Linked DNA regions of Astyanax mexicanus. The protein of the gene in region 2 purifies or fractionates together with the protein of the main gene of each other region. This does not show direct contact. Links are inferred from orthologs where the notes say so. Each region holds a gene or a part of one and is shown on either strand. Other genes may lie near its edges. The genes, in order: upf2 and rbm8a.

Region 1 (15,933 bases), on a different chromosome or scaffold from region 2:
AACAGCTCAAATAACACACAACCTCTGCTATTGGGACAGAAACTAAATCAAAAAAGGAAACTTATCACAGTGTTTACGATCATTTAAATTGCTGCTTCATCTGTTTTGTAGTAAGCAAATGATCAAGACCTCTTCCACAGTCACTTTGTAGAGTTTATTGCTTTTGAAGGTACCCTGCACCCTGCATTTTAATGCTTCTAGAACCCCGATTGCCAACATCCATGCCAGATGAAGGATGTGCAAAAAATGGGAGCAGATACTGAAATGGATGTATTAATCTTACAGTAAGCTTAGATTTTCCAATATTTTCAGTAAAGTTTCCCCTGGCTGGGTTCAGCATTAGCTGCTAACCGCAGTGCTAGCGGGATGTAAATGCTTCACAACTGCGCTAGATTGAGGAATGTGTTAGTCAGTGTTCAGGTAACCCAGGGTGTAATCAGCAAGCAGTTTGTCCCATGTAGCTTGTTTTAACATGGCAAACACACCGACTACAGTCCAATATACTGGAACAGCAAAAGAGCTAGCATTGTGGTAGTGGCTAATGCTAATGCTAATGCTGCTGCACGCAGCCTTAGTTCTGATTTTTTTTTTTTTTTACTGAAAACTAACCCTCATAATGTGGTACTTTAGTGAAGTGGCTTTACTCCTCCTTAATACCGGGCTGGTAGAATTTATACATAAGGCGCGCTGAATTATAAAGGGCACGCTGCGCCTTATAGTCTGAATAATATGGAACATAAAGGCAGTTTAAATGAGCCTAATCTACTAGACAGCACAGGGACACCTGTGGAACTAATTGCAAACCAAAAATACATTAATTTTGCATGCTTATTTATAAGCCTCACCAGTAGAACGCTGGTACGCAGGTGGGATTCAGGTGATCTGAAGAGGAAACGTCCACATGTCTCCAGCAGAGTGCAGGCCATTTCAATATGGTGATGAGAGAAATCAGACAACAGCATCTAGAGACAAAGCACATACACTATTAGATACACAAGAAAAATATCAGTAAAATAAAAGTAGTGAATTGTACCCTGGTTAATGTTTTCTCACCTTCAGACAATGCAGAGTGTCTGTTTTGGAAAACATTTTGAATTTGGACAACTCTCCAATAAATCTCACAGTTTTATTTTTGGTCTCAATGTTGATTTGGTCCTTCTTTCTCACCTACAAGAGAAATGGATAAATCATGACATGAAGCTGGGTTAGCAGAGTAAGTGGGTATAGATGTGTAAAAACTGTCATACGAGGCCAAGAGGAAGATACTAACATGGAATCTAAAGTCTCCTTTGAGCATGGAGCAGAGATCCTCCGCAACATCAGACATGCAAGGGTGCAGAGTAGCCACCAGCCTTGAGTAGAATGGCAACAGATCCAGTCTAACAGCAGAAAAAGAAAACACAAATTAGCAGAGATCAAAGTCTCCAAGAAAAAGATCCAAAGAGAGAGCTATGTTAGATAAAGCAACAGCTCTATCTAGTGTCAATTCATTATCACTGCATGTACAAAGATCAAAATGAACACACCTTTGCCTGGGAACAGTGAAAAGGGCACGAACAAGCTTCCTGCGGTTGGACTTTGTGTTCATATTCATACAGAAGTCCATCGCAGCCTTGAAGTAAAACATACACACAAAGATATTTAAACTACTTTAAAAGCACATAAAAAAATAATTTTACATTATATCTGAATATCATATTATTCTTTCCTATCAGCATTTTACAAGACAATAAACACACACAGAAAAGCCAGCTACTGGACATCTAAATTTAGGCCTACATATTTCAGTTCTGTCTCGTGCAACAGGCCTAGTATTGTTTATAAAGTGTACACCCACACACTCTCATTCAACACGCTATTTATAGAACGCCTGATATCATGAAACCAGGCGGAGCAAAATAAATAGAATGACAAGTGAAGAGTTGGGTGCTCTGGTATGCAAGACATAAATGTAGGTTTACCTTATCAATAAGATCTCTGTTGACACAGTTGGGAAGCTGCTGGATGAAGGCATCAACGATGAGCTTAAGATGAGATCCAGTGCTGGCATCTTCATCCTCTTGTTCTACACACACATACGCAAACAAGCACACAGTGACAATAAATTAACAAACAGTCTCTCTAGAGGTGCATTAACATTAAATTGCTGTTCTTTACAATGTAGTACTTAATTTAACTCTATAACTTTATATTATATTTATTATATATTAATTATTTCACTGACAGGTCACTTTTTAACATCACCTCCTGGTTAAATCTGTTTAACCACCACAGAGCCGCTGTTATTTGGAGGTGGTAGAATATTAGTGTATGTTTTGTTGCAAATAGTGAATCACACAGCATTTCTACTGGAGTGTTTAAATAACGCATACACATCTACTGTTCATTTTACTAACACTTCTACCTAAATGGTCCACCATAGATGTAAAGTTAGAGAAAGATGTTCATCTGTTGCTGCACAGTTTCCAGTTTATGATGATGTTTACTGCCATCATCATGTCAGTATCACTGCCTCACTGAGTGTGATAAATATTAATAACTAAATAATATAATAATATGTTCTGTGGTGGCCTTTTGAGGTTGTGACCATTAATGAAGAGGGTGAACGGAGGCAGAGGAACTGATGGACTGCAGTTTGTAATTACTGTTTTACAATGTAATACTATATGGAGGTATTGAAATTGACAATATGGAGAAATTAATGTATTGATTTATGTACACTTAAGTAAATCATGTTATAACCACCTTGCTCATCTAGTAGTTTCTTGGCCAGTTCTTCACTCTCTGCCTCATCAGCACCTTCCAGTTCCAGAGGGTCATCAGTGATGTCCAGAGCCTCAAGCTCCAGCTCTAGCTCCTCTGTGCAACTTGCTTCTTTCCCATCACGTCCCTCCTTAGTTTCTGAAGAGGAAGCAAAGACTCCACTTTAGCTCAACTTAATTATCAGACCTCAGGTCTTAAAGTGACAGCAACCATTTACTACCTTTGTTTTCTTCCCTATCTTTGCTCTGACAGGCCTTTTCATTGTCCTTGAACAGAATGGCAGGAACAAATGCCTTCAGGTCTACCAGGTTTTCATAAAAGTTTCGTGCATCCTCATCCTCCCAGATTCCTCCTTCAAGCTCATAGTCTCCTGGCTTCCCCGGGGTGAAGATGTCAATGCCTGGACCATGCTCTGCAACACAGACATCACACAAACACATTGTTCATACAACATAAATAGTAATTCACACACCTCTGTAGGGATCTATGTTACTAATTAACTCCTGACACTCATAAAACCACATTTAACCACTATTCTGGGTTTATAACCATTATAAAACTGAAAGTTATTACATAACAAACTTTTGCAAATTCTATTACATTAAATACTGTGTCACAAGGTGTTATTGCAATAAACAAAAACGCTTAATGTTTGTCTGAAAACAAAGGGCTGGTTTGCTGGTTCACTAAGTCTTGGACTATATCTTGGTGTAAACAACAAATTGAACTGAAACCACTGAAAATGTTTTGTTGTTTAAAACTTTAAACATTCATTTGAACAATATTGTGAGATTGAGGTAACATAACTAAAATGGAAGAAATGTAAAGCTAAAATATGGTCATTAGAAATGCTTTTTTTTAGGCTAGCTGTTAATTTACCAGTACTTATGAGGTGCACCTCATTAAATGCATTAGATGATAAGGACATTATTAGATAATATTTGTGAGTATTATTTATAAACATCAGACATTTCATTTGGTTCATACACTTGTTCAAATGAACTGGCAATTCGTGATTGAATATGCTTAACCTCCAGAGTATTTTGACTTTTTTGAAGGGTCTATATCAAAACCAATTTGTGTTGTAAAAACCCTGTTGTGCATGAGTTTGTACCTTCTTGGACAGTCTTATCCTGAGGCAGCTCAGGCATGTTCTCATCCAGCAAATCAGCCAGAGACTGGGTGTTGGCCAGCAGTTTCTGATAGCATGTGGCAAACTCCTCATACTGTTTATGCCTGTCCTCACTCAGCTCTCCTTTAGAGTGCAGAATACGCCTGAAAGATAAGGAAATAGAGCATAAGAGGTTTTTAGAAGAAGCTCCAGTACACCTACACTAAAGAGATACACTGGGCTGATGGTTATGACATTTGCTCACCTGTTTTGCCTTTCAGTGTTCTGAAGCTCTCTATGATCTTTCTTCAGGTGTTTGGTAAGAGAGGTAAAATACTCTCTCAGCAAATTCTGGAAGGGCTGCTGCTTCTCTATATTGATGATCTCACTCGGAGGGAATGTCAGGTTAAACTTCTCAGCTGCACTCTTCACCCGACGAGGCACCAGGCCAGCAATGTCATCTCCACAATGCTTGCAAAAGCTTATTACCACCGAAACGTGAGTGTGAGTCTCACGGTCAGCACTGATAATGTTCTTCAGTTGCTCATAGATGAGAGAGAGCCCTTCCTTATCAGTGAAGAGACCCACTATAGTCAGCTCAGCAATGAAGCGTAGGTCAGTGCGCAACTTGCTCACGTTTGGAGCCTTCTCCTCTTTGCGCGCCTCAAAGTGCCTCTTCCACGCAGCCAGAAGGAGAGGGGCAAATTCAGCGTAGCGCTGGTGGAACAGCGAACACAGGTGTACAGCACAACCCACATCAGAAATCTTAAGCTTGGCCTCCACCAGTGAGCTGACGGCTTCTCCAATGTATTTGCTGAGATTGAGCGAAGCGAAGTCGTGCGAGAGGGAATCACGCTGCTGTTCTGTGAGTGTGCGGAGCTTCTTGACAAACGCAGTGTTTTTCTTGAGACTGGAGTCCAGGCGACTGAAGAAGGCCTCCTCGGGACGGCTTTCCTGCACATGCTGGTTCTTACCTCGCAGCTCCTTCCTGGTTTGGTGTCTTTCCCATGCCTCCTGGTGCAGCTGCTGCGCTTCCTCTTTCTCCCTACAACACAAACACATTAGCTGAAAACTGCAGCAATAGAGCTACATTTACATGTACACCAACAGTTAGATAATAGTTAGTCCATTTTAAACTTCTGAGACTGATATAAATATAAAAATACCATAACAAAATAACATTTGTGCAGTAATTGTGATACAGTGCATGTGATAATAGCTTTCAAACATCAACTCATAACAGAGGATGAAAGGGTTCACATAAAATGCTTAACAATTTGTCAGAAATATTAAATACTCAAATATTTTAAAGGAAAAGGGGCAATAATGTTTATAAACAATGGGGAAAATGTTACATAGGAGGTATTTACCTTTATATAGTCAGTCTATGCTGCTGTAAATCTAATTGGAACTATAAACATACTATAGTTTCATAGATCTTTTTTAAACCTCTTCTAAAATTTTTGTCCAGTTTGTTAGATTACCTGTGAACATACTGGGCTGTACACTGGCACTATACAGAAATGCTAAAACTAGTCAAAGTCGAAACCTCTGTCAGAAATCTTACTTCAACTGAGCAGCCTCCTCCTCCTTCTGTCGTTTGGCCTCCTCCTCAAGCAGCTTCTTTTCCTGTTCCTCCTGTTGCCTCTTCTCTTCTTCCTCCTTCCTTTTCTGCTCTTCCTCAGCCCTTAGTTTTTCTTCTTCTTTCTTCTTACGCTCCTTCTCTTCTTTCTTCCTCTTCTCCTCCTCCACTCGACGCTTCTTGTCATCCGCAGACTTGTTGCCATCCTTCTTGCCACTCATTTTGCTCTCATCTTTGCCTTTGTCTCGGGAAGACGTGGGTCGCCTATCCCCATCTCTATCTCGCTCTTTCTCCTTGCTGGTGTAGGAGACTGTTTCCTTGTCATCCATGTTCACTGACTTTTTGCGTTCAGCAGGCATCCTGCTAAAACATCAGACATTTCTTTTTATTTTGGGATGTTCTATAAACACAGCATGAGCAAGCAAATAGAAACATCAACATTTTCTGTTATTGCCAAAGAGTGATTCTACAGGGTTTTCCTACTGTAATATAGCCATTTGTCTCAGCAAAGGCTCAACAGGTAATGAGTTAATTATGGATCACCTGTGTTGGAATTAGAGGAATCTCTACCAGGGCAATGGTAGCTAATAAAGGACCAGAGCTGGGTCTCATTCTTAAGTTTGTATGTAAAGTCTCTACTAAGTCCATAACACTACTTAGCTTTAAACTATCCTTTCACTAAATGTGGTTACACCACAAGTCTATATGTTGTGTCTTAACTAGTAACAACCAACTGATGTGCAGTAACCACTTTTACATTAAGAAATTAAATGTATGACATGGCAATCAACAGGTTGCCATGGAAACTTGGCATATAATGGTTTTCATTGGTTTAGTTACAACTTTCCTCTCAGTGTCTGTGAGGGGTCACAATATTTATAGAGGCCAAGTACTATTTCAACAGTCACACCCTGTTCAAACACTTAAATATAGAAGTATTTTTATACAAAAATATTAAATCTGCAATCAAATGTTTAAGATTCAAAACAGAAAATAATTTACTTGATTGATTATGGGGATATCATCAGTGCCTAAAGAACATTAACCCAACTGTACATTTAATTACAGAGAGTGTAATTAATCATGTTAAACTGGATGATGTGCAGCAAAATCACTGTACTATACATAAAACAGTATTTTAAACAGCAGATTAGCATATCTGCCACATGATAAATACTATCATGAAAACATCTATTAGTGTGTGATCACAAACTTTGCAGTTATGTGGAAATTATTTTAGTTTTTCTTTTATTTTTGTGTTTCTGTGGAGTTTGCTGTTGAAATCTCTCATTTGTTTGTGCTTCATTATTTGTGTTTCTATATAAATATAATCTGTAATTAATTTTTTAATAAGATTTTATATTTTTGTGTAAAACTTTTGGCAGAAAATCAACCTCATAAAAATATCCTTACCAATTTTACATTTATTTTTAACTGTACATGGACAAAATACTGTCAAACACAAACAGCATGTGAGAAAATCCAGCAACCTAGTTTGTGTGGAGCAACCTGTTTTGATTCAGTAATGCGGAAATCTGAATGTAGTAAACACTTAACCTGGTTTGTTACGTTAAAAGTCACAGCATAAAAAAATAACATTTTACACACACAATAACCTGAAATCTAAAGCGAACTAAATAAAGGCGTTTATGTTGCTATATTTAGCAGAACGACTGTGTGACAGGTGTACTATTTAACGCGTAAATCTAACAACTTTTAAAAAGTTAGTTTAGTTAGCCAGCGTTCGTTAGACAAGAGAAAGCCAGCTAGCTAACAAGCTACATTATTTAGCTAGCGTTAACTTCAGCTAGCCACTGTAGTTAGTAATACAAACGTAGGTAATAGTTTAGTTCATACCTTTTATAAATAAGTTAACACATTAGAACAACATTAGTTTATGTTGAAGAAGCAAACACACCATAGTGCACACCAGGAGAATGTAACGTGAGTGAGCTGCAGTTGTAGCAGTGACAGCTGTTCTGTTCAAAACATGAACCGAAGTTATGATTAACTATAAAATTAGCCAACCTGGCTAGCTAGCTAGCTATACTGTCTACGTTTACCGCGTTCGTTCTTTATTTCCGCCCGAATACTAGCTAGTTAACTAGCTAATTCCCACATACCCAACTGAATTATGGCCTAAATAAACTTACAAGTTATTGTAAAATTGCGTATAATAGAAGTATCTTACGGCATTTGCCCGTTAGCAAGTGAGCTAACTCCGTTTGCCATAGAAATCTAAACAGCTAACGATAATAGCGAGTTAGCTAGCTAGCTGTTAGCTGTCGAGAGTTGTTAGCTAACGCTAGCTAACTAGCTTCACACTTTACGCGCCCCTCACTCCGCACATTAACCCCCGCTATATATCGCTAACAATCCAACAGCGCGGAATAAACGCAGAGCTCCTGCTGTCTATCTGAAGCTGTCTTTAGATAGCTGTCTGTCCGCCTCTCGGTGAATCAGTAAGTGGTTAGCAGAGTGTCAGTAATAACAGTGTTAGCTCAGCTCAGCTCGACTGAATTTCAGGCCGCTCTGTAAACATTACCGAGCTGCTCGATACCCCGCACTACCCACACAAACCCTCCCCAAACCGCCACCAGCCCCGTTATCTTACCTTCAAAACAACATAAACAACATAGGGCAGTTTTAGCTGGGTGGGCTACTTTTTCCTCTGCCTGCTTTGGTAGGAAGGACCCCAAATCTAGCTCTGTATTTCGTGCGCCTGAACAAAATAAGCAGCGCTGCAGTCTGGTCCAGAGGAAGAGCAGAACATGTCGATCATGGCGCGTTAGAGAGGTTAGCTATCATAACAGCTCATAAACTGATGTGGGTGTAGACCTAGCTGGTGCACGAATTAACTCTAGTGAACCTTTCCCATTTTCCTCCTGAAATTACACACTATTGGGGTTTTCTACTCCTGCATTAAAGCTACATAAGGTAGATGCAGTTTCATAAACTGCCGCGTTTCCAAATTTAATTATCACAAACTGAGGATTTCATGCCCTCCCACGCTTTCATTTTGTTCAGTTCAGCGCATTGTGACTGTGGGTCTATAAATATACTTTCACAATTCAGCATCTCTAGCTAACTAGGTTAGTTGTTTTCCCCAACTTAATCCTACTGCAGAACAAAGTATATGTACACCTCTGAAAGTGTGAAAGTAATTTAAGCCAGAATCGCTTAATCAAAAACTCTGATCATTCAAGTCGTATTGTCATGAGCACACTGGACAGTTTTTTTTTTTATCTCACTCACATGATATCACCTTTCTATTTGTACAGGTGTGGGTGTTTTTCAAGCTGTTTCCTAAGTACAGCTCTGAAAATTATGAGTTTTCCTTTTATTTTACTAAATTAAAATTAATCTGAATCACAGCCATCAAACCAAGCTGAACTAAATCCACCATATATTGATTTCTGATCTCCTAAAACGTTATAAATATGAACTTGTTTTCTTTGCATTATTTGAGGTCTGAAAGATTTCCGTCTCTTTTGTTATTTCAGCCATTTCTCATTTTCTTCAAATAAATGCTCAATATTTTAATTTGGAATTTTGGGGGAAGTTACTGCAGATAACTATTATTTATTTTAACAAATCCATATGGCAGTCAGACATTATATGTTGGCAACTCAAATAAGCCACAATTCCAGTCTTAAATCATATGCAGCTGCCTTTTATTGATTTTTAAGGCTCAGAAAATAGGTTCCCATGTAGCATTTGTCTATGTTAATGAGATAAAAATGATCACTGAAACTTGCGGATAGCTCAATTATGTTTCTAAAAGTTTACATGAAAAAAAGGAACAAATACAGTAGGTTAGTCAGATATTATACAGACAAATCCGACATACAAAATCTGACTTGAGTACATCCCAAATTTGAACAGGGGTGTCCAAGACTAAGCATACACATATACATATATCATATGTACAAGTCAAATATAATGTTTCATTTATCATATACACGTCTAATAAGTTTGTATAACAGTTCTTTAACAAACCAAACAAAAATAAAAATACAGGCCTCTATCACCACTCCTATCACCACTCCTTTCATTAAAAGTTTATTGAAAAGTTCATTTAATAAAGAAAGTTATCTGTCACTCTGCTCTTAGATCTCCTTTAATGGCTTTATAAAGCTGAAGAAAGGTGTCTGCCCACAGCTCCCTCTGGTGGCCTGCAGTTGCCTGTGTGAGTCTCTGAGCTGTGTACACCATGGTGAGCACAGTTCGCTCAAAGTCCTCCTTGTGTAGGTGACCCCGATGCTGTTCCAGCTGGTGGCAGAGGCGGCGGATGTCTGACAGTGTTCTGGGAAGGACGTCCTCGCAGACCACCTCCAGAGATTGCAGCCGCCTCAGAGAAGCTAACTCCTCATCAGCCATGCGTAGCACACCTTCCCTGGCATCCACATACAGCCCTGACCACAGGGCCTGAGCCACAAACAGACAGACAATCATACAGACAGACATTATTAAAAGAGATACATTTAGAGCAAAGACTCCTTGGACTGTTTCAGTTACATTTGGTATAAAATCCTACAAATAGTATCCTACAAATAAATCTAAATTTACTTACTGATAATAATACTGAATATTGAACAATGTATTGATAAAGACCTGAACATTAGTAAAATATTTTATATATATATATTTATGACTGTAATGCCACAGTTCATTTTGACTGTGCAGTGTGACCAGTCCCCTGACAGGATATCTGTCAGTTTTTCTTATTTGTCAGTGACCTTCAGTCAGAACACCAACCCTATTATTTCCATTTGGTAGCTGAAGTCCCGTGATATTAGCTGACAGATTGTATTTTATGTTTTGATACAATAGATGGCGTATAGCAGCACCAGTAGTCAAATTAGAGATTAAATTCCAAAATTCCAGTCTCAATCCAAAATCTATACATAAGCTTAACCTCAGTCCAAAACCTAACCATAACCTTAACCTCAGCCCTAAACATAACCCCTAACCTTACCACAAATCAATACTGTTACCTTAACCTCAGTCCAAAACCTAACCATAACCTTAACCTCAGTCTAAAACCTAACCCTAATCTTACAACAAATCAATACTGTAACCTTAACCTCAGTCCAAAACCTAACCTTAAACTTAGTCCAGAACCTAACCATAAACTTAACCTCAGTCCAAAACCTAACCATAAACTTAACCTCAGTCCAAAACCTAACCCTAATCTTAACCTCAATCCAAAACATAACCCTAACCTTAACCTCAATCCATATGATAACCCTAACTTTAAAACAAATCAATACCCTCACCTTAACCTCAGTCCAAAGCCTAAGCCTAACCCTAACCTTAACCTCAGTCCAAAACCTAACCCTAAATTTAACCTCAGTCCAAAACCTGACCCTAACCTTAACCTCAATCCAAAACATAACCCTAACCTTACAGCAAATCAATACTGTAACCGTAACCTCAGTCCAAATTCTAACCCTAACCCTAAATTTAGACCAAAACCTAACTTCACCATAACCTCAGTCCAAAACCTAACCCTAACCTTAACCTCAGTCCAAAACCTAAAGCCATACCTCAGTCCAAATCCTAACCCTAAACTTAGACCAAAACCTAACCATAACCTTGAACTCAGTCCAAAACCTAACCATAACCTTAAACTCAGTCCAAAACCTAACCCTAACCTTAACCTCAATCCATATGATAACCCTAACTTTAAAACAAATCAATACCCTCACCTTAACCTCAGTCCAAAGCCTAACCCTAGTTTAACCTCAGTCCAAAACCTGACCCTAACCTTAACCTCAATCCATATGATAACCCTAACCTTAAAACAAATCAATACCCTAACCTCAACCTCCGTCCAAAACCTAATCTTAATTTTAACCTCAGTCCAAAAACCTACCCCTTACCTTAACCTCAGTCCAAATCATTACCCGAACTTTAGAAAACCTAAATCTAACTCTGGCCATAATCCAAATCCTGACCTCAAAACAAGGCCTAATCCTAACCATTATCCTGACACTAGTCCTAAACTTAACCTCAGTCCATGAAAGTGAAAAACAACTGAATTCAGGAGACATCTTCTGTAAAAGTCTGTTGATGATCTACTGAATGTTCAGATGCTGCTACATTACTGATATGTTTTTGATAAGATACCTAATAATTAACTGCTATTTTTCTTGCAACTCTTCAGTCTCCTAATAAATTCCATTAGGAACAGGGGTTTATATTGTATATTACATTGTACTGGAGCACATTCTATCCAGAGAGCAGTGTTCCTGCAGCTTACATTTTCTATTAAAGCCCATTGCCCAGGTTGAACAGGGCCTGAAGAAACACGTTATCGAAGTTTGTCAGATTCTCTCTACCATCACACTTTCTCTCACTCTTGTTTTATTAACTTCCATTCTACTTTCATGAAAAAGTCAGAGATTGTGTTGTGATGGAATTTCATTTTTCTCCTGGTACTTCTGAAGGTAAAAACTCTGTTTCTGAAAGAGACAGACAGAAACACTCGAACTCTTCTACAGTGTGTTCGGGAGCAGCCTAATTTGTTTCAAAGCAGTGTAGAGACGGAGCTCAGGGCTTCTGTAGGAGAAACAGGATGAGTCTGTATGTGCAGGTTTGTTGACTGCCTGGTGGTGTTTGTGCTAGTAGCATCATTGCTTGCCTTGTTTACCTCAGTGAAGAGAAGTTGATGGATACAAAAGTATTGGAAAAAAGTAGAAGCTCCATTGGGCTAAAGAAAAAAAAATGCTGTGAGGATCTCGGAGTCAGACAGAAAAACTGATGTAAGAAAGTCTGTGTTTATCTTGTGTTTGTCTACATGAATTTAAGGTCTAAATTGTTTAGGTTTGGTCATGTTGTAAGTGTCATTTCAATTTCTACTTTAATGCTGATTGACAGGTACTGGTCAAAAACATTGTTGCCTTTACCCACATGCAATAAGTCAACCAAGACACGTTATAAAATAAAGTTAAATATAAAGATAGTGAGAAATACTTTACACAATACATGTTTTACTTTAAACACTACATACAGTACATTTGGCTTTGTATGTTGCAATTGCAATGTTAAAGAGAATAAATCCACATGGTTCGAGGCAGATGTGTGATGTTCTATACCTGCAGTGTGCATTATACACTATATAACAGGTGGGGTACAAGCTTCCCACATAGCTCCAGACAGTGCACACCACCTACCAGACATCAAATACCCTGTATTTATTGACACACCTATATTTAATAATATGGTACAGTGTGACTGTCAGTCCTGTAGCTGTCAGTCTGCCAGCTCTGGACTCTGAACTACACAACAAAGACTCCAATTCCCAGCATGCACTTACAACAGACTTCCTTGACTTTGCTGATCACGTGAAGCTTTGACATTCCCACTCTCCCAGTTACTGATTGTTTGCACCTGGCCTGTCTTGTATATATACCTCTCTGTTTTCTTTGTCCCTCACCGAGTATTGAATCTAGTTAGCTAGCTCTGCTACAATGCGTTTCCTTTGTTTATTGCTTGTGTAACCCTCATTTTTGTTTCTGACCATCGTCCTTTGCAGACCTTTTTTGTGTCTCTGTTTATCCCTTTGTCTTGCCAAAATTGTATTTCTTGATTAGGGATTTAGATTGTTGGTTCTCAAAACACAATACAAGGTAAAAACAGTGGAGGGAACATACCTCATAGACTAAGTTGGTGTCCTCCACAGTTTTCTGGATGGAGGGGTTAAGTAGAGTTGGTGTTCCTCTCTTTACTCTGAAGGCAGAGGGGTACAGTGCTGAAAAAAAGAGGGTTTAAGGTCAGTGAGTTCAAAGGGTGAAGGGGAGAAAGGTTTATCTTCACTTCATAACCGTGACAGACCTTAAACCAGAACACTTTAAACATCTGGTGGGAGAGGACTGATGGACTGTCTGGAAGTTATATACCCTTTGACTGGCAGGTTGAGGCTTTATCAGGGACACGCCTCATCTGCTTACAGGTCACAGCTTGTCTTTAAAGCTCTTCAGACAGCTCCACTGTGGGGATTTCAAAGCAAGCATCTGTGTGGCAGGCTTCTGCTGCCGTATCTGCCTCTCATCAAGTCTGCAGTCACACCAAACAGCGGCCAGCCTGATGCATGATAGTATAAGGTGACTATATAATATCTCTTCCCCCAGACATCAGAGATCTTACAAAGGTGTGTCTGGATTTTTAAATTCCAGAGCTTGCAGTGATCTCATGTCAGTGTGTGCATCTAAAGGTCAGCGCTCGTGCTGTTAAAGGATTTTTACAGCTTTAAATACATCTCTTTAAGTCCTGCATTTTCGGCCCCACTATTGGTCTATATGTACCTGCTGCATGTAATTACATGCAGCCACTGTTCCTCCCGCTTTGCAGAAAAAGACAGAAAAATAGAGAGATAGAGAGAAAGGGAAAGAAAACTAAAAAGAGAAAACAGAACACTGTATAACAAGAACAGAACAGCAGTCCTAAAAAAAAAATAAATAAACACAAAATCAGTAAAAGAAAAATATGTTATGATTGTCTCTTAGTGAAACCATGTGGACCAAATATTCTGAAAGATCCATAAAAGCTTGAATCTAACCAACTACACAAAATTGTAGTCCGTAAAATACATCATGTGCGCTAAAATATTCTAATCAAACTTTATTTTCATACAAAAAAAAAAAAATTAATGTAAAATATGGTAAAAGCAGTATTTTTGTTCACTTGAGTTGAAATAAAAGAAGATGATTTGGTCATAAAAAGTAAAGGTACATGCACACATTACATGTACATTAGCTTTATTACATCCGATTTTAAACATATATGCATTGATATGAATCATCTGCATTAATATGGAGTGTGGAACTTTACAGTTATTGAATCAGCAGAGCATTGGGGACTTTTCGGCACTCAAAGATCCCACTCTGTAACTTTACTGTAACTGTCAGACACATTGTAGCACTTAGTTGCTGTGGTTCCTCAAAGCTTTCATTTTAAAGACGATTATAATATCCCTTTTGTAATTCCAGGACCATAATGGAGTTCAGTGAGCTCTTTGGAACCAGCCATTCTTTCTATAATATTTGTAAAGACAGACTGTAGGGCTAGATGCTTAAATTTATACACATGTGGCAATGCAACAGATAGAAACACCTCAATTAAGTGATTAAGATGTGTTTAACATTTTGTATTGTGTATAATATCCTTAGGAATCACTAGTATCACTATCCCCCCAACACTAGAAGTGTAAAGTCTCGCACATACGTCTTCCAACACGTATGAAGTTAGCCACAGTCTCTTTTTGAACTTCTGCTAAAATAGTAAGTGTTCTTAGAGGTAAGCACTGCTCCCAAGCTCTGATACATCAGCTAACAGATGCCTGTGCTGACCAACATTACTTTGGTAGTGCCAGTGAATTAAAACCGGTGATCCTTGGATAATGGTGGCAGCGTCTTAAAGCGTTAACTTAGCGTCAACTTAGCCATCCTTGAACTTCCTCATGACAACATCCCAACCACAGCAGACACCGGCATGTTTCCAGTGTTGTCCTCTTAAAAAAAAAAAATCTAAAATATGGTCACCATATGCAAGTACAATTGTTCAGCATATGCCTACAAGCCTTACTACAGATATCAGCAGTCTTTGTCTACTTTACGTAGGGATTTGGCATCAAGTGGACATATGGAACAGTAGCCACTAATAAATCTTTAACCTCTTGTTGCAAATTTAAAGCAGAAACATGTTTTATGTGCTTTCCATGGAATCCAACAAGCGATCACACAGTGCTGAAATTCACCAGAAAGGCACATGTGACTGAGAGTGCTGGAATGCAGTCCACTCACCCCAGACACTCTCTTAAAAACACGCCGGTGGTTTACTGGACGCTGGTGTTTGAAATTGAAATGCCTCATGATGTCAGAGAAACCTTCTTAGCACCTGGTTAAGCAGCAAACATACTTTACAGTCATGGCCAAAAGTGTTGGCACACCAACGGTATTTCTAGCAATTATTATTTTAGAAATGTATTGCAATCATATGTTTTGTTATACAGATGTTTATTTCCTTTGTGTGTATTGGACAACACAAAAAAAAAATATTTTTTTTAAATGGGCCAGAAAATATTGGCATCATAATTATGGTTAAATAACTTTGTCTCAAGCATGTGATGCTTGTTTAAAGTCACCAGTGCCAAGTATGTGGGCAATATAAACATTACATCTGAAACCAATGCCAATGGTATAAGACACTGGAGCATGAAAACAATTTACTATGCCTCCTGTCAGATACAGATGTATGAAGTTCCCTAGCATTAGGCTGTGATGCTCTGGAACATTACCTGAATTTGTGTATCTTCATCTTCACTAACTATGGGATGAGTGGTGTTTTTAATCCAGATTTGATCATCTAGTATCAGTATATCATAACACCATTGCTCTCATGGCTTAATGCAATTAAATCCTTACAGCAATGGTCCATCATCTGATGTAAAATCCTCTTAGAAGGGAGAGGCAGT
Region 2 (16,177 bases):
AAAAACATGTCAGCACTCCAGCCAAGCATGCCTAAATTACACGAAATAGGGATGCAGCAAATATATAATAAAATTTAAATTAATTTTTTATATGGAAATAAATTAGTGAATAAATTAGTACTGAATAATGCCTAATTCATTTTATGTCATTTTCGTTTTTGGTTAAAAATGTTCAGTTTTCAATTTATATTTTAAAATATTCATATATATTTTTACCTTTGAAAAGCAGGACAATATATATATATATATATATATATATATATATATATATATATATATATATATATATATATATATTTAAGTTACGTTTTTTGTCTGTGGTTGTGATCAGGTGTAAAATGAATGGAACCCTGCAAAAGCCAACATACTAATCATACTAATACTAATTAGTATTAATTATGAAATAATATATAAAACACTGAATTTATTTTACTGATTAACTTATTATTTATTTCATTCATTCATTCATTTCTTATTTATTGTTCTTGTTTTTTAGTGCATTGCAATTAGAAAACTACACTCTACTATATTTTCTCTATCACTGGAACATATTTGGGTTTGAAAGGGTAATTTTTTGTGTTTGATATATCCATTGTAAAGATGTAAACCATTGCCTACAGTGCTTCGCAAAAGTATTTAAATTAGAGTAAAATTTTACTATTTAAAGAAGAGATAAATCCCCTTTCTGATAAATCTGTGTCTGGGAGGAGCTTAAGAAAATATATAATCACTTCAGAATACATTTTTACTGATAGGCTGTTTAACATATTGGCTGGCTAATGTTACTATTTGGTAATCTCAAAAACAGCAGTGGCTATGCTATAGTGCATTCTGGGTATTGTAGTAAAATAACTTTTAATTATGTAAACACAGAAGGTGTATTAAATCATTAATTCTGTCAGTAAAGCTGATAAATGCAATTATGTGTTATAAAATGTTAAATATCTTTATAAATACTATTTTAAGCATTCTAAAAATGCCAGTTCTGTATAGATTCTACACACAGGTGAGTGAAAAAGCTCAGAAACAGTGCATGTCTGAAACTCACTTGGCCATGTTGGCCAGCTCAGGTCCCTCAACTGTCTTCAGAGCATCGACCAGGCCCTGGAAGTACTGGCCCATCTTCTGCAGCTCCTCGGGCACCTCTCTCTTGGCCAGGCTGGCAGACTCAGAGCCTGAGATACAAAGTGCAACTAGGGTTAATGTCCTTAAAAATAAAATATGAACAGTATTGCTTCTATATAATTCTTATATTAATAATTATATTCATTATTAGTCTTATATAAAGCTTACCAATGGCCAGAGCAACAACAAGGGCAGCGATGAGGAAGAACTTCATGATTGCAGACTGACTGAGCAAGGCGTGCCTGCAATAGAAACACAATAAATGGATGGGTTATTTCATTTTTTTATATACCATTGCTACAAATTAAAAATATAAATATACAGCTCTGGGGAAAAAAATAAGAGACCACCTAAAATTGGTGAGTTTCTTTGATTTTACCAAATTAAAAACCTCAACCATCAAACCAAAAACCATCAAACCAAAAAGAACTGCTTGAATTTTTGCACCAGGAGTAAAGGCATAACGTTATTCAAAAGCAGTGTGTAAGACTGGTGGAGGAGAACATGCCAAGATGCATGAAAACTGTGATTAAAACCAGCGTTATTCCACCAAATATTGATTGAAATATTGAACTCCTAAAACTTTATAAATATGAAATTGTTTTCTTTGCATTATTTGAGGTCTGAAAGCTCTACATCTTTTTTGTTATTTCAGCCATTTCTCATTTTCTGTAAATAAATTATCTAAATGACTGTTTTTATTTGAAATGTGGAAGAAATGTTGTCTGTAGTTTATAGAATAAAATAACAACGTTCATTTTACTCAAACATAAACCTATAAATAACAAAATCAGAGAAAATTATTCAGAAACTGAAGTGATCTTGTTATTTTTTCCAGAGCTGTACATAAATATAATTCATATAAATATGTCTTTTGTGTGAATATAAACAAAGTAGTATTTGGCAAACAAAGTAACTTAATCTAGACTTTGTATAAAATATTATTAGTGTAGCATAATGAAAAAATTATTAGTTAAAAAGTAAATACAGCAAATATAGCAAACCAAATACAAAATAGACTGCTTTTAGTAATACTATAGTATCACTATATATAGATTTTATTGATAATATTGTTAAACAATTTGGTGAAAAAAAGTAACATTATTTAAACTTTAATATTAGTAAAGCATCTGAAAAAGAAAATGCCTAAAAAAACACTATACCAGTTAGTATTACATTAATAGCTTACAATATCCATTTTCTAAAAGTGCTATTTAGTTACTAATCTATTTAAGCACACTCTTGATTAAAATATAAAAAGAAACATTGCATTAATTGCAATAGATTAAAAGGTTCTCTAAAGATTTATACAACAATTAAATCAAAAGATTCTCCACCATAGAAAAGAATCTATATACAGCCATCTATAACTATGTTTAGGTTGGTAAAAGTGAGAGACACAGACTGGTAGCAGAGGTCTTACCTTCTCTGTGGGGTAATGTAGGACCTGAAGGTGCATTGTCTCAGGAGCTGAGGTCTTTTATACAGGCTGGGTCAGAGTGAAGAGCAGGGTTCAAAGGGTGATCTGAATTGATGAGATCACTCAGTGTAATGTGTGTGAGTATCGTTAGTGAACCTTGAGGCTTTATCTGGCACTGTGAAGTTTTAAAGTCAATGTTCAGCGATAATCTTTAACATTATCAGCAACACTAACTACACATAATGTACATTATTCCATAGAAATACAATAATTACCACCAATTTACACTGTACATACATGTTTTAATTATTAAAACACCTCAAATATATCAGTATATGTAATATTTGTCATTATGATATTGATTCCTGTTAAATGATTTCAGGCTGAGAGGCCTAACCAGGGGGTGGGTGTTGTGGTAAAATATTATATTACAATATTTGTAAAAAGTTTTTTAAAGGTATGAAGCAAGGCTGTAATCATAATATCTATTGTAGATATTTATATTTAATGTGACAGTCTGTAAGTTTTTAGTAAGAGTGTGTAGTTAAGCCTTAAGCATGCTAAAAAAAAAAGTATTTTTAAAACATGCATTGTGGTGCAGGCACCTTTCAGTGTAAATAAAGCTGGTGATTTTATTTATTAAAGGAACTAAAACTAAAACTGTCCAAACCAAACTAGCCCAAACTATGTACTAATATGTGAAATGTGTGAAATATTTGTGTAAATATAAACAAAGTAGTATATACCCTATACTTTGTATGAAATATTATTAGTGTAGCATAATGAAAAATTAATTAATAAAAAAAGTAAATGCAGCAAATAGCAAAACACATACAACATAGACTGCTTTTAATAAAAATCATGGTATCCCAATATCTATATTTTCTGGCTGATATTCTTAAACAATATGTTGAAAAAAATCTAACTTCATTATAAATATTTTAATATAATATAAAAACATCTGAGAAAGAAAATGCCTAAATTAAAGACTAAAACAGTTAGTATTACATTAATAGCTTAAGATCCGTTTTTTTTTTTAAGTTATATTTACTTATTAATTTGTACACTAAGTACACTCCTGGTAAAATAAGCAAACAAAATCCCAAACATTACATTAATTGCAACTGTTTAAAAGGTTTACAAGTCATTTCTAAAGCTTTGGGACTCCAGCAGACCGCAGTGAGAGCTATTATTCACAAATGGAGGAAACATGAAACACTGGTGAACCTTCCCAGGAGTGACCGGCTGACTGAAATTACTCCAAAAGGGCATGGACAAAATAATATTTTATTATTATTTTATCTTTATTTTACTTTATCTTTATATTTACCTGTTTTAACAATTGCTCATTTGGGTGGAACTGGATTGTGGGAATACAGTTTTGTTCCAACTCATGTACAGCATGTGATGTGAAATGACGTTACAGTTTTTTGACCTTTTTTTATTTAATTTGACTGGCTTTAATTTATGTATTTTCTTTCTTTGTCACGTTTTGGTTTGTTTTCAATCCCTCTGCACTTTATCAACATGCTTTTTATTGCTGAATTACGTTGATAATGATTATGTGTGCTGATGAAACCTGTGGCACAGTGACTACACAGCAGTTACATGTTAGTTTACTGTTCAGCAGGTCGAAGTCTGGTCTTGCCAACACGACTGTGGTTATATCAGCCGCTGATTGGCTTTATCTGCAGGTCGTGCTGGTGATACACGCTGACTAACGTTCAGCTGAAGTCCACTTTCAGTTTGATAAAAGGTCATGACCACACACTGACCTGTATCTTGGTTTTTTTGTCTGTTAGAGGATACAGTATTTTACCTGCTCATACTCAGTCTGATTTGGTAAGGGGTATCAAACTCATTTACATATATACATTTATTTCATTTTTAATTAATATTTTTTCAACAATACTTAAAAATCTAATTTATAAACCCTTTATAAACCCTTTATAAGGGTAGTCTTATTTTAAAGTGGTTTTAAAATAAGACTACCCTTATAAAGGGTTTATAAAGGGTTTATAAATTAGATTTTTAAGTATTGTTGATTAGGTTGTGAATGCCTTAAAACCTTTGATAAGCAGTTACAACACATTAATTAAAAAGGCAACAGTGATCCTTTGTTTGTTTAGTCATTTGACTTAACTGAGTCATTTCATTTATAGTAAATAGTTAAACATACTTACAAATATATAATATATAATATGACAAGTTTAATGCTGATTGATGGAAAACACAAAGTAAGATCAGTATCTAGAAATATATGAGGTTTGACAGTAGAAATGAGTGTTTGCCATTTTTTTAACTTAGTACTGTTATTTATTTATTAACTGCTTATTAATGAGTTTTAAAGTTTGTAGCCTAATTAATAACCATTAATAATCTCCTTTATAGACCATTCTTAACCCCTTTATAAAGGTAGTGTTATTTTAAAGTGGTACCACATTTTGCTATATAAGCATAGATGTCCATTGTGTATTATAAATATACAGTGAAAAAATAATAATAATTTGATCCCTTGCTGATTTTGTAAGTTTACCCACTGCCGTTGTTTTGTAAGAGCAAAAGACAAAATATATGATAAGGTGGACAGACAAGTAGAGCACAATAGACAATAAATACAGTACAATGTGCAAATTCTGCATTAATTAATACTTAATCTAATTTATCTGCTGTAACGTAGATTACTGTAGACAAAACTGCTGCCTGTTTTAATACCAGTTTCAACAAGTCCTCGTCTTCATCACTTAGCCTCACTTTTTTTTTCATCCTCAGGGGAATCCTACGTGGCTAATAACAATGCAAAACAACGGCATCATATGTTTTATGTATAGTATGTGCAAAAGTTGCAAAGAAATGCTACATTGGAAAGTTTGCACAGCTAATAGATCAATAACAGCACATTATTAATAATAGTGTGATTAACTAGCAAGTTACGCAACAGTTTGACTACAACTCTTCTGCTTTATATAACGCAAATAGTCTCAATCACTTAATTCCTAAATTCTGGTTTATACTTCTCTGTGAAGTCATCACACTGTCTATGGCAGGGGTGTCCAATTTTTTTTTCTTGGGGGCCAGAAGGAAAAATAAATGTGCAGTCACGGGCCACAGACTCTGTAATAAAACAAATAATGAAATATACCACTTATAATAATACATTTTCTTGATAACTATCATTTACACATTATTTTACTTGAGTTACTATCTTTACCTGTCATTGAGAGTGTTGTGTAAACTAAGATTTTCAAATCGATGTTTCATTTCATAATGTCTATTACTGATTCCTGACATATTAAACATACACACCTCCCTCTGAGCTCAGTTAAAAAACAGTCATTTTCCCAACGTGCCTGAAATTTTCTGCATTTGCTGTCTATTTTCCATTTCTTTGGAGCTGCCATGTTCTCCCAAAAGCTCAGGAACAATATTGTAGATATAATGAAGTGAGAAAAGGAGGTGAGGAGCGTTTTAGATTGAGTTTATGTGATAGCAACACCCAGCGTTCAAACTTTGAATCTCACATTATAAAAACCTGCTTAATAGCGGGCCTACTTTCAGTTTATTTTCAAAATATCTTGCGGGCCACTCCAAAAAAGGAAACGGGCCAAAAATGGCCCACAGGCCATAGTTTGGACACTCCTGGTCTATGGCATAACCTGTGGGTGTTTATACTTCTACATTTGTGTGTTTGTGGCTCTTCGTCGCTCCACATGTTTAAACCACAAAGACAGCTGCTGCTGTCTGTGTCACATGACGCGTAGTTACTAGGGCTGTCAACGGTAATGCTATGATTTCCTGTTACTTTTAGTCCTGTTACTCATAACAAAAAATAACAGGAGTGAGTGCCAGTAACAGGACTGAGTTTAAGTAACAGGAGTGGTTTTCATTTGGAAGAGTTACAACAAGCAAATGGCACCCATTTAGTGGAATGGCCCTTAAACAGTTATTGTTTGAGACTAATTTCATGATGCAAATATATATTATAGTCTGGAGACACTGAATACACATTAAGAACAGGCAGATAGAGAATAGAAATGTTAAAAAGTGAAGTGCTGTTTTAATTTTAGCAGGTAAAAAAGCAGGTGTTCAGTATAATCAAAATCTGTCCTAGTCCTTCGTTTTTTGGTGCCACATTTGTTGTTACGCTCACTTTTCCTCAACTGTGCTGCCTAAGATGTTGTGAAAGCCCTGTCGTTGTGATGGTTGTTGTATTGTACATATTGCACTACTGAGCTGCGGAGATGTCAGAGGCCTGGGCAGCCCTGTTTTTCTCTTTCTTTCTGCCTTTTTCTGTCATGTGTGAACCCCCATAGAGGCCGGCAGAATGGCCGAATTCACATTTAAAAACAGCACTTGTGCTCCTTCCAGTGGCGTCATCAAAGCCAATCCCAGTTCAATGGCTCAGTCAATTGGCCCGATGGGAGGCAGCGCATTTTCTAAAATGACCTTCTTCTGGGCGATTTGAGCACTCCAGCTCCCAGCATGAGCCGAAGTATTGAAACTAACATTGAGGAGATAATTGGGGCAAAATCTGAAAAAAAAAAACTTGCTTAGCAACGCAGCAAGCGAGAGAGACAGAGTGGGGTTAGAGGAAACAGTGAACTGAATGCAACTGAAGCAAGGGTGGCCATATATAGACCATATACGTATAGGATACAGGCTGCTATTTAAGATTATTAGATCACGATGAGGGGAATTTTATTGTATGCAGACACATAGTAGCAGGGTAGCTACTGTAAATATATATTTATATATTTATATATAAATATAAATGTTACTTGGGTCCTGCACTGACCTGTGTTATATGTGTTTGTGAGATCTATATAAACAAAGATAAGCGATAAAGGTATTTTTCTTGCAGTTTCTATCTCGTGTGCCTTATTTTTTGCACTATAGGGCGCACCGGATTATAGGGTGCACTTTCAATAAATGTCCAGTAAACATCTATTTCCATACATAAAGACACTACTAACTAGTAACTAGTAGAAACAGGGATATCGTCATGTTTTCCTTCTACATTCAGCAGGTAAAGCTATGCTAAGTAAACTAAAATGTAATTCTTAAAAAAAGCATTTTAGACTAGTCAGACAAGCAAACGAGTGCTGGATGTTCATCTACAGAGATTTCTTTCCTGAAAACTGTTTATTTGGGTGAGTAAAGTGCTTCTATTTATTAACAGTAAGCCTAGATTTCCAGATTTCCTCTAAAGCTGGAGCATTAGCAATAACGGCTAACCACTAGCAGTTAGCGGCTAATTCCACCAGACAATGCTACACTGAGGAACCCTGAGATTTCCTGTAAGCCGGGGCGATATTAGCTAACAGTCTGTCCCATGTTGCTTGTTCTAACACGGTAAACGTGCAGGCTACAGTCTGATATACTCGCCTCTAAACGGAGAAAGAGCTAGCGCTGTGGTTAGCAGCTAATGCTAATGCTGCTCCAGCAGTGCTAGCCAGAAAATGATCAACCCAAAAAGAATAGGGAAATTCACAATAAACAAAACAAGTGCTCAATGGTTTCAGTAGCTCCTTAAAAATATAACAGCATCACCCATATGAAAAAATGTATACAAAGCTCAAAATAGCATTTAATTGGTAGCACCTTAATAATGTTATAAGGCAGCTCTTTTGTTATTATGTTTTAATAATATTTGCATGAGTAAGACTCCAGATTTTTTTTCAATTGGTTGAACTGATAAAACTGTACCCTGATAGCAAAGAAGTGTGAAATGAATTGACATAATTTTTTGTTGCATCACATATTTAAAGGTTGATGATTTAAACTTTAAACTAAAGCTTGTCTTTTTAATTGACTTACTTGCACTTAAGGCAGTCAATCAAAGTCTGATGGAAACAATTGTAGGACATTATCACATATTATATAATATAAACTAAAATAAAATCAAAACCAAAAAACTATAGAATGCAAATAAATTTGAAAAGTTTTTAAATTGAAATGGAATTCTATGTAATTTCTTATTTTTAATCTGTCGCAAATTTACTAAAATACATCTATATAGTTATTTAGTTCCGTATATATACAAATGTTTGGTATACTTTTTTTTTGGTTAGCAAATTTCATCATATGTATATAGTATAGTATTATGTAAAATTATAATCAAATCTATTATTTTTTGAATTTGCGGTTAAATAAGAGGTAATCACAAATAAACAAAATGTATTGGTCTATAATGGGATTATCATTACTTCAATCCAAAAATGACAAGAAAATATACAATTTAACAAAGCTTGTCTGTAAAAAATGATCATTTTATAGGTAGGTAGTTTAGTAAGGAAGAAACTTTGTGAACTGAATGAAATAATTTTTAATAATTATTTTAATCCAGCTATTTTTAATAGTTTTTTCCAGAGGCGGCTGTACCTGCTGGAAGCCGGTAGGCGGCGCTGCCCGGGTTCGCCTCTCCTTTCTCGCTTTAACTGCGTCACCGGCGCGCATAGAGAAGAGCGCACTGCGCATGCGCATCACTGCTCACACGAACAGGCATCATGGCGGACGTGCTGGATCTTCATGAAGCGGGAGGAGAAGACTTTCCTATGGATGAGGATGGTGATGGTGCGTCTTTACTGCGGGTTTAACCCGCTGTTTAAACCGTGTGTGGTGTACTGTAGCTGTTCTGTAGCTGTGCGGGCGGGTAGTTTCTGTTATTTTGTCCGGACTGAGCGGTAAAGCTCGGTTGAGGCCTGGTCCGCCCGCCCTCGCCGCGACTAGCACGAGCTAAACCCGAACAAACAGACCCGGTTTAACCCGTTTACTCTCAGTTTAGCTTATTATCTTTATCTTATGTCGGGGTTTCCTATTAGTCTGCGTTATTTAGTTGAGGTATTTAAGAAAATATTCAGTAGTTTTCCAGTAGCTCCAGCTTTCTGTATTTTCTCTGTTAGTCTTCCAGTAACGAACACTCACACACTTAATAGAGACAAAAAGTTTGTGTAGTTCCACCTTAAATGATGCTGAATAGCCGCGCTGTTTAAGGTGGAATGGAAATATTCAGTAGTTGTCCAGTAGTTCCTCCAGCTTTCTATATTTTCTCTATTAGTGTTCCAGTAACGAACACTCACACACTTACTAGAGACAAAACGCTTGTTTAGTTCCACCTTAAATGATGCTGAATAGCCGCGCTGTTTAAGGTGGAATGGAAATAGTCAGTAGTTGTCCGGAAGCTCCAGCGTCATATTCACTCTTTTAGTGTTCCAGTAATGCCTACTTATTTTGCTTTGAGACAAAAAAAATCCTTCCACCTTAAATGCTGTTATGAAGCCAAACTATTTAAGGTGGAATGGAACATACCTAGTCGTTGTCCAGTAGCTCCAGCGTTCTTTATTTCTAAATATATTAGGAGACCAAGCTTTTCTGTTTACTCCAGTGTTTAGTTCTACCTTCAAGGGTGCTACAGCGGCTGCACTATTTAAGGTGGAATGAAGATATTCAGTACCTGTCCCGTAGCTCCAGCCTGTATTCCCGTGTTTTTTATACCGTAAATTTGTAATTTACCTACTTTGCCTAGAAAAAACAAACTTCTGTTTATTCTAGTGTTTAGTTCCACCTTAAATGGTGCTATCAGCCAAACTATTTAAGGTAGAATGGAAAATATGCAGGGGTTATTCAGTAGATCCTATATTGTTAGAGTGTATTAGTAGACGAAGCTTGCCTTTGTATTGCATTGTTTAGTTCCACTCTAATTGGTGCTGCAGCAGCTGCGCTATTTAAGGTGAAATTAAATAAATCCAGTAGCTTCTTGCTTCAGCTTCTTGTATTGTCTGAGCGTATTAGCTAGCTAGTCTAATGACTAGATTTAGCTAACCTATTGAGTTTGCTTGGGGACATAAATATTTGTCTATTTATTGCACTCTAGTTCCACATTAAATTAGCTGCACTGTTTAAGGTGGAATGAGATCAATCCGCTAGCTTCTGCTCTCAGTATTGTCTGAGTGTATTGGCGAGAGTTCCAGTAATGACTGCAGTTATTGTTAGAGTTTGCTTGGAAGCAAAGTTTTTTTTTTTTTTTTTTTTTTTTTGTTAATTGATGTTCTTCTGTATCAGCATCACTATTTAAGGTGGAATGGAAATATTCTGTAGTTGTCCATTAGCTCCAGCTTCATGTATTCTCTTTGCCTAGAGGCAAAAAACTCTACCTAAAATGGTGCTGATCAAATGCGTTATTTATAGTGGAATACATCTGTGTATTTTATTTTTTTTTGCAGAGAGCATCCACAAGCTAAAGGAGAAGGCAAAGAAGAGGAAGGGTCGTGGATTTGGATCTGGTAAGTAATATTGATTTTTGTGCAAAATAAAAAGTTTTCTCTCTTTATGGTTATAACACTAATATATTTCTTTTGACTGTACTCTGTAACTAAATATTTGTGTTTTAACACCAGAGGAAGGAGCGAGGTCCCGAGTGAGAGAAGACTATGATACAGTGGAACAAGATGGTGATGAGCCTGGCCCACAAAGATGTGAGTTATCAGATTGGATATTGGAAAGAATTGGCATGATGTTAATTGTTCTTAATACTGGTATTAGTCTTTAATACTGTTACCCCTCTCTAACCACCTAATAGGGCTGCAAACCTCAGCACCATCAAAGTGATTTTATAATGTTATAAATGTTTTCCAACATGTTTTAAGTATTAATGTTCCTCACTAAAGATATTCTTATAAATTAATCAAGCAGTTTACAACCTCATAAAATGAAATGTACATTTACACAAGTCATATTCTTTCCAGTATATTATATTATATTATGCGAAAAATGTTTGCACACTTTTCCCCCTTTTACACTAAATGTAGTGGACTCTAAACTACCTAAATGAATGAAAATGTTAAAAGAATGTGATTGAGGTGGTTTAAAGTGTGTGGAGCTTGAAGCCAGTCTGATTTACCCCATATTTCAGTAAATTGAGTGTTTTACGCAATTAAAGAAAAGCATCATTCTATTATTTTTGTTCACGCTGTATTTTCAGCTGTTGAAGGATGGATCCTGTTTGTGACTGGCGTTCATGAGGAGGCAACGGAAGAAGATATCCATGACAAATTTTCTGAATTTGGAGAAATCAAGAACCTGCATCTCAACTTGGACAGAAGAACGGGTTACCTTAAGGCAAGTCTGCAGCATTCCACCTTCAAACAATTTCTATATTTGCGTGCCACACAAATTAGGCGATATACTTCACATCAACGCAATTTTGCTATGAACATTGTCCATGTCAGATAAACACTCCCAAAAATCTGTAAAATTTTAGATTTACTGGAATTAAGAAATCCTTTACATTTCATGGAAAATCTATGTAAGAAATTGTATTTTAAGCCAGTTTGCTTCATTTCTATTGGTCATGAAAAAACAGCATTAAGAAACAATCAGCTACTTTTCACTATATTTACTTAATGTACACCTTCTGTTTAGACATACTATAATTGTTATTAAGCTATCTTTTCCTTACTTTCCCTAGAGCTAACACTAGTCATACGTTACTAAAACTGATACTAAAAAAAAAAAAAAAAAAAAGAATACAGAGAAACTACAAAACACAGTAATCTGCCTTGGTTTGGAAACCAAGTTTGGCCTCCCTAAGTGTAAAGCTGTGAATCCATGGGTTTGTCTTCTTACTAGAGGGATTTGTTGGGAATAATGTGTTCAGGCGACCACTAAGTGGCAGTATTTTATAAGAACAAACAGAGGCTTTCTTTTACTTAAGGTATTGAAGATGCATTGGGTGTATTTCCACATCTACTGTGTTTTACTGACGCACTTGAAATACTTAAATATTTGATTTTGATATTTATTTATTTATTTATTTTTATTTAAGTTATAAATGCTCAGCTGCATGAAAAATGGACAATACCCAAGTAAAAATAAAGTTTGATTGAGTGACACTAAACCTAAGAGAGTTATATCCACCCAAGGACTTGGTGTAGAATAAGAAATCAAACCTCTGGGGAAGGCAGTAGGAACCCACTACACTACCTCAGGGAGCCACATTTCTCTTCCAGCTTGTTGTAGATTTTGCCTCAAAGTATTAAAATAATATTGTATAATGTTAATTTAAATAATTTCAAAACATTATGTAAGCTGTTAATATATACAGCATGGGTCATTCATCCTCCTTATAACAAAAAGATCCACCCTGAATTAGTTTTTCTAATGCCATTTAAACAAATTTACATAAATCCTCCCACACAACAGCCTCCCCCATTCACTATGTTCTAAAGATATAAGAAGTGCTATTTGTATGAAGCACAGTACAGGCCATTCAAATAGAGGGCATTTGCATATCAGCAGCCTGTTTATCAGGTAATATAAAACCAAATTACACTTATATTGTAAGTGGACCTCGGGGAGAAAATAAGATCAATTAAAGTATGGTCATATTACTCAGAGCTTCATTTTGTACTGGTGTTTTCCTCACAGGGCTACGCACTGGTGGAATATGAAACGTACAAGGAGGCACAGGCTGCCATGGAGGGTCTGAACGGTCAAGATCTTATGGGTCAGCCAATCAGTGTTGATTGGTGCTTTGTTCGGGGACCACCAAAGGGCAAGAGGAGGTGAGTATCATAATACATTAGACTTTTATAACTTTTTTTTTTTTGTTTTGTTTGTTTTTCATTTACTGATTCAAGACCACAACCACAATCAAAATTGCTTCGTTTTTTGAACCATTGCATATTGTGTGTATATATACATTGTATACTCTAATTGATCAGGTTAGAAATACTTATCTATATGTATGCTTGGCATTATTTGTATTTTATAGATTTGAATTATTGGCTCTCATTTCTCTTGTTAAAGGATGATCTTAACCAAATATACAAACATGAGTAACAATAAATGAAAGCTAGTAGAGATGTAATGGTACACTGAATTCAGTTTGGGTTGGCTCTGAGTGGTCCGGTGGACTAAGGCGCTTCCACTATGATTGGAGGAATGCTGATTCGAATCCCGGCAGTGCAGTTTGCCATCAGCTGCTGGAGCCCTGAGAAAGCACAATTGGTCTTGCTCTCTCTGGGTGGGTAGATGGTGCTCTCTCCACTTTCACTCCAAAGGGTGATGTTGATCAGCACAAGGCATCTGTGAGCTTATGTATCAGAACAGAGTCACTGCACTTTCCTCTGAGTGCACTGTGATGATACTCGACAATGCTGCATCAGCTATGATTTCTTGAGATGACATTTAATGAAAGAAGGTTAGAAAGTCGCAATGTATAATAATAATAATAATAATAAGAGCAGTAAATAAAGTAAAGATGACGAAAATGTCGTTCACTCTGTGTAGATAACTAACTGCTATTATTTTGGCAATGCTCATATTTCCTACAATACCATGCTTTGGTATCTGCTGTTTATGGGATACACAAATGTATTATCACATTGCTTCGTGTCCAATAAGAACAAGGTCCTCTTTGTAATTGTCAGGGATTTACTGCACTGTTAGCAGTGTTTAGTATTTTGCACAGAATATGATGGTATGACTTCCTTGGTTTCATATGTCTTATGTATAAAATTATTAAAATTTTGGCTTTGTGCGATCAGTGAGAGGTCCCATTACTTTATTGAGAAAAATGGATCAAACAGCAGGTATGACGGGCACTCAGGGTACAGCAGAAAGAGTTAGTGTGTTATTCTTTAAATCTTCAGTGTGAATAATCAAATGTGTGTTTCTCTTCTTTTCTCAAAGGGGTGGAAGGAGGCGTAGCAGAAGTCCAGACAGAAGGCGACGCTGATTTCCTCTACTCTGCTTTTTACAGAGCCTTGTATTCCACACACAGTGTGACAGCATGTGTTTCTCTAATGGGCTGTTTTTAGATTTTGGTGTTTTTGTTATTTTCTGTTTTCCGTATTGCCACCAGCTGCAGTGTGTAGCCTTCTTTGTAACGAAGACCGAACGAACTCTGCAGCAGCATTTGTAATATTAAAGTTACGTTGTCTGTATAGTATTGGTTTTACTTTTAATTTTTTGTACAAAATTAAAGAAACTGGTCCTTTAAAACCTGTGTAGGTTTCCAATGTCTCATAGCACCTATAGTAATACACAGTCATTAATTTTAAATGGTGCTCATGTGTACACTTTCAATAAATTTTTGTTTGGGGCTATGTCTGTTTCTCTGGTAAATTTGTTCAGCTTTTAAGAAACACAAACTTTTCTTTTACAGAGTTACAATGTGGTTGTTCTGACACATTCAGTTTTTAAAAATTGGAAATGTGTAAAATTAGCAGAATAACTAACTAAAGTTTCGTGATGTTTAGTAAATAATGGTTCACTTGATTGCAATGAAGCAGTTGCATTAAATCATTTATAATATGGTGGAGGCAGACAGTGTTTTCATAAGAGTATTTGATTGCATGTACGTATTTGAAGGATGACCTTATCCCCAGGGCACCAATAGACATGGTGCCAATGGCTATATATAGATATAGATAGATATAGATATAGCTATAGAGATATAGATATTATTATTATTTTTTTTCCCCAAAGAGTCGTATTTTGTTGCCAGTACTTCTGTACAGGGACTAGACAAACTGCATGTGCAAATTTCTATCAGTAATGAGTGCAACTTACTGTAGCTGAATACATTCTGTAGACAGAAATTCCATAAATGTGTTCAGTGGCACTTTAAATCAATTCTTTAGTGGAACATTAGCAGAAAACATCTCTGATATAGTGAAGAATTTGTAGTGGATTAAAGGGTAACTAAACCCCCTGATTTTAGCTGACTTCACCCTAAGCTAAAATTGGTTAAGGCTTAAAAAATGAGAGGGGCACTGGGTGAAGTATGGGTTTAGAGGTGGGGCAGGAGGGAGAGCTGATTGGTGGAGCCTCTGATAGCGGTGAGACGCAGATGGTTGGACATCAGCAGGGGTTTGGTATTACTGATTAGCTGATCTGCATATTGTGATGTGTCTGCGTACCAAAGTACGCGGACACGTCATCCTCGCCTATAAGCACAGTTGAACCTGCCCCAATAAGCCAGCTTTAAATTCATGTTTATAATGGACATTTTATTCCTATTTGTCTAGGTCCAACTGTCAGTTTGCACGTGTAAAATCATTCTAAATTTCACCTCTAGCTGAGTAGTCTGAATCACAGGGCATGTTCTTGCTTCTCCTGTGTTATTGAAGATGCATCAGACGTTCAATAGGTACAGCCAGATAATCCACCATTTATTTCACACCATGCTGCTGTTCAATTTGTAGAATGACAGTACAGTGTTTGTTAGCTAGTCTGCACTACTAAGCTTGTTAGTCTAAACTTAGTGTATCTTGTATTGAAAATCTATATTTTATATCGATAATTTGGAAGAATTTTTACTTTGCAAAATAGAAAAAATAGAATTTTGGTCTACAGCCCCCTTGCAGGACCACTGTGGCCCACAGGTTGAAAAACACTGTTGTAGCGTATGCTTGGGAGAAATGTCTACCACGGTAAAGTTATTCACCGTTTGGTTATGAAAGCTACTACATTTTATACATTTTAAAATATATAAAATTTAATAATTCGTAGAATTGGCAGTGTATCATAAATATAAAGCGTGTGTGTGTTTGTTGCCACCTAGCTGTATCATACACACTTGTTTTTATTATTCTGTGTGATTCGGTTTGAAAGCTATTACATTTTACA

The links.
Region 1: the proteins of rbm8a (region 2) and upf2 purify together in Homo sapiens (co-immunoprecipitation; 6 studies listed by BioGRID and IntAct, with this or other methods). This does not show direct contact. The link is inferred for Astyanax mexicanus from reciprocal best matches to the Homo sapiens genes RBM8A and UPF2.

What each region holds. Positions count from the first base shown.
Region 1 is NC_064409.1:45,002,462-45,018,394, forward strand, and holds the start of upf2 (regulator of nonsense transcripts 2), read right to left. Parts: upstream 8,230-15,933; 5' UTR 8,071-8,229; intron 7,986-8,070; exon of another isoform or gene 7,375-7,985; intron 5,820-7,374; exon of another isoform or gene 5,817-5,819; 5' UTR 5,816-5,816; coding exon 5,442-5,815; intron 4,920-5,441; coding exon 4,140-4,919; intron 4,039-4,139; coding exon 3,878-4,038; intron 3,176-3,877; coding exon 2,984-3,175; intron 2,902-2,983; coding exon 2,746-2,901; intron 2,066-2,745; coding exon 1,962-2,065; intron 1,613-1,961; coding exon 1,527-1,612; intron 1,380-1,526; coding exon 1,271-1,379; intron 1,168-1,270; coding exon 1,054-1,167; intron 963-1,053; coding exon 846-962; intron 1-845. Other genes in the region: protein FAM180A, read right to left, coding at 9,555-9,884, 13,115-13,212. UniProt on the Homo sapiens protein: Involved in nonsense-mediated decay (NMD) of mRNAs containing premature stop codons by associating with the nuclear exon junction complex (EJC).
Region 2 is NC_064408.1:115,215,609-115,231,785, forward strand, and holds rbm8a (RNA-binding protein 8A), read left to right. Parts: upstream 1-8,997; 5' UTR 8,998-9,051; coding exon 9,052-9,118; intron 9,119-10,767; coding exon 10,768-10,827; intron 10,828-10,941; coding exon 10,942-11,019; intron 11,020-11,525; coding exon 11,526-11,662; intron 11,663-12,970; coding exon 12,971-13,107; intron 13,108-14,236; coding exon 14,237-14,282; 3' UTR 14,283-14,652; downstream 14,653-16,177. Other genes in the region: type-4 ice-structuring protein LS-12, read right to left, coding at 1,049-1,175, 1,294-1,339.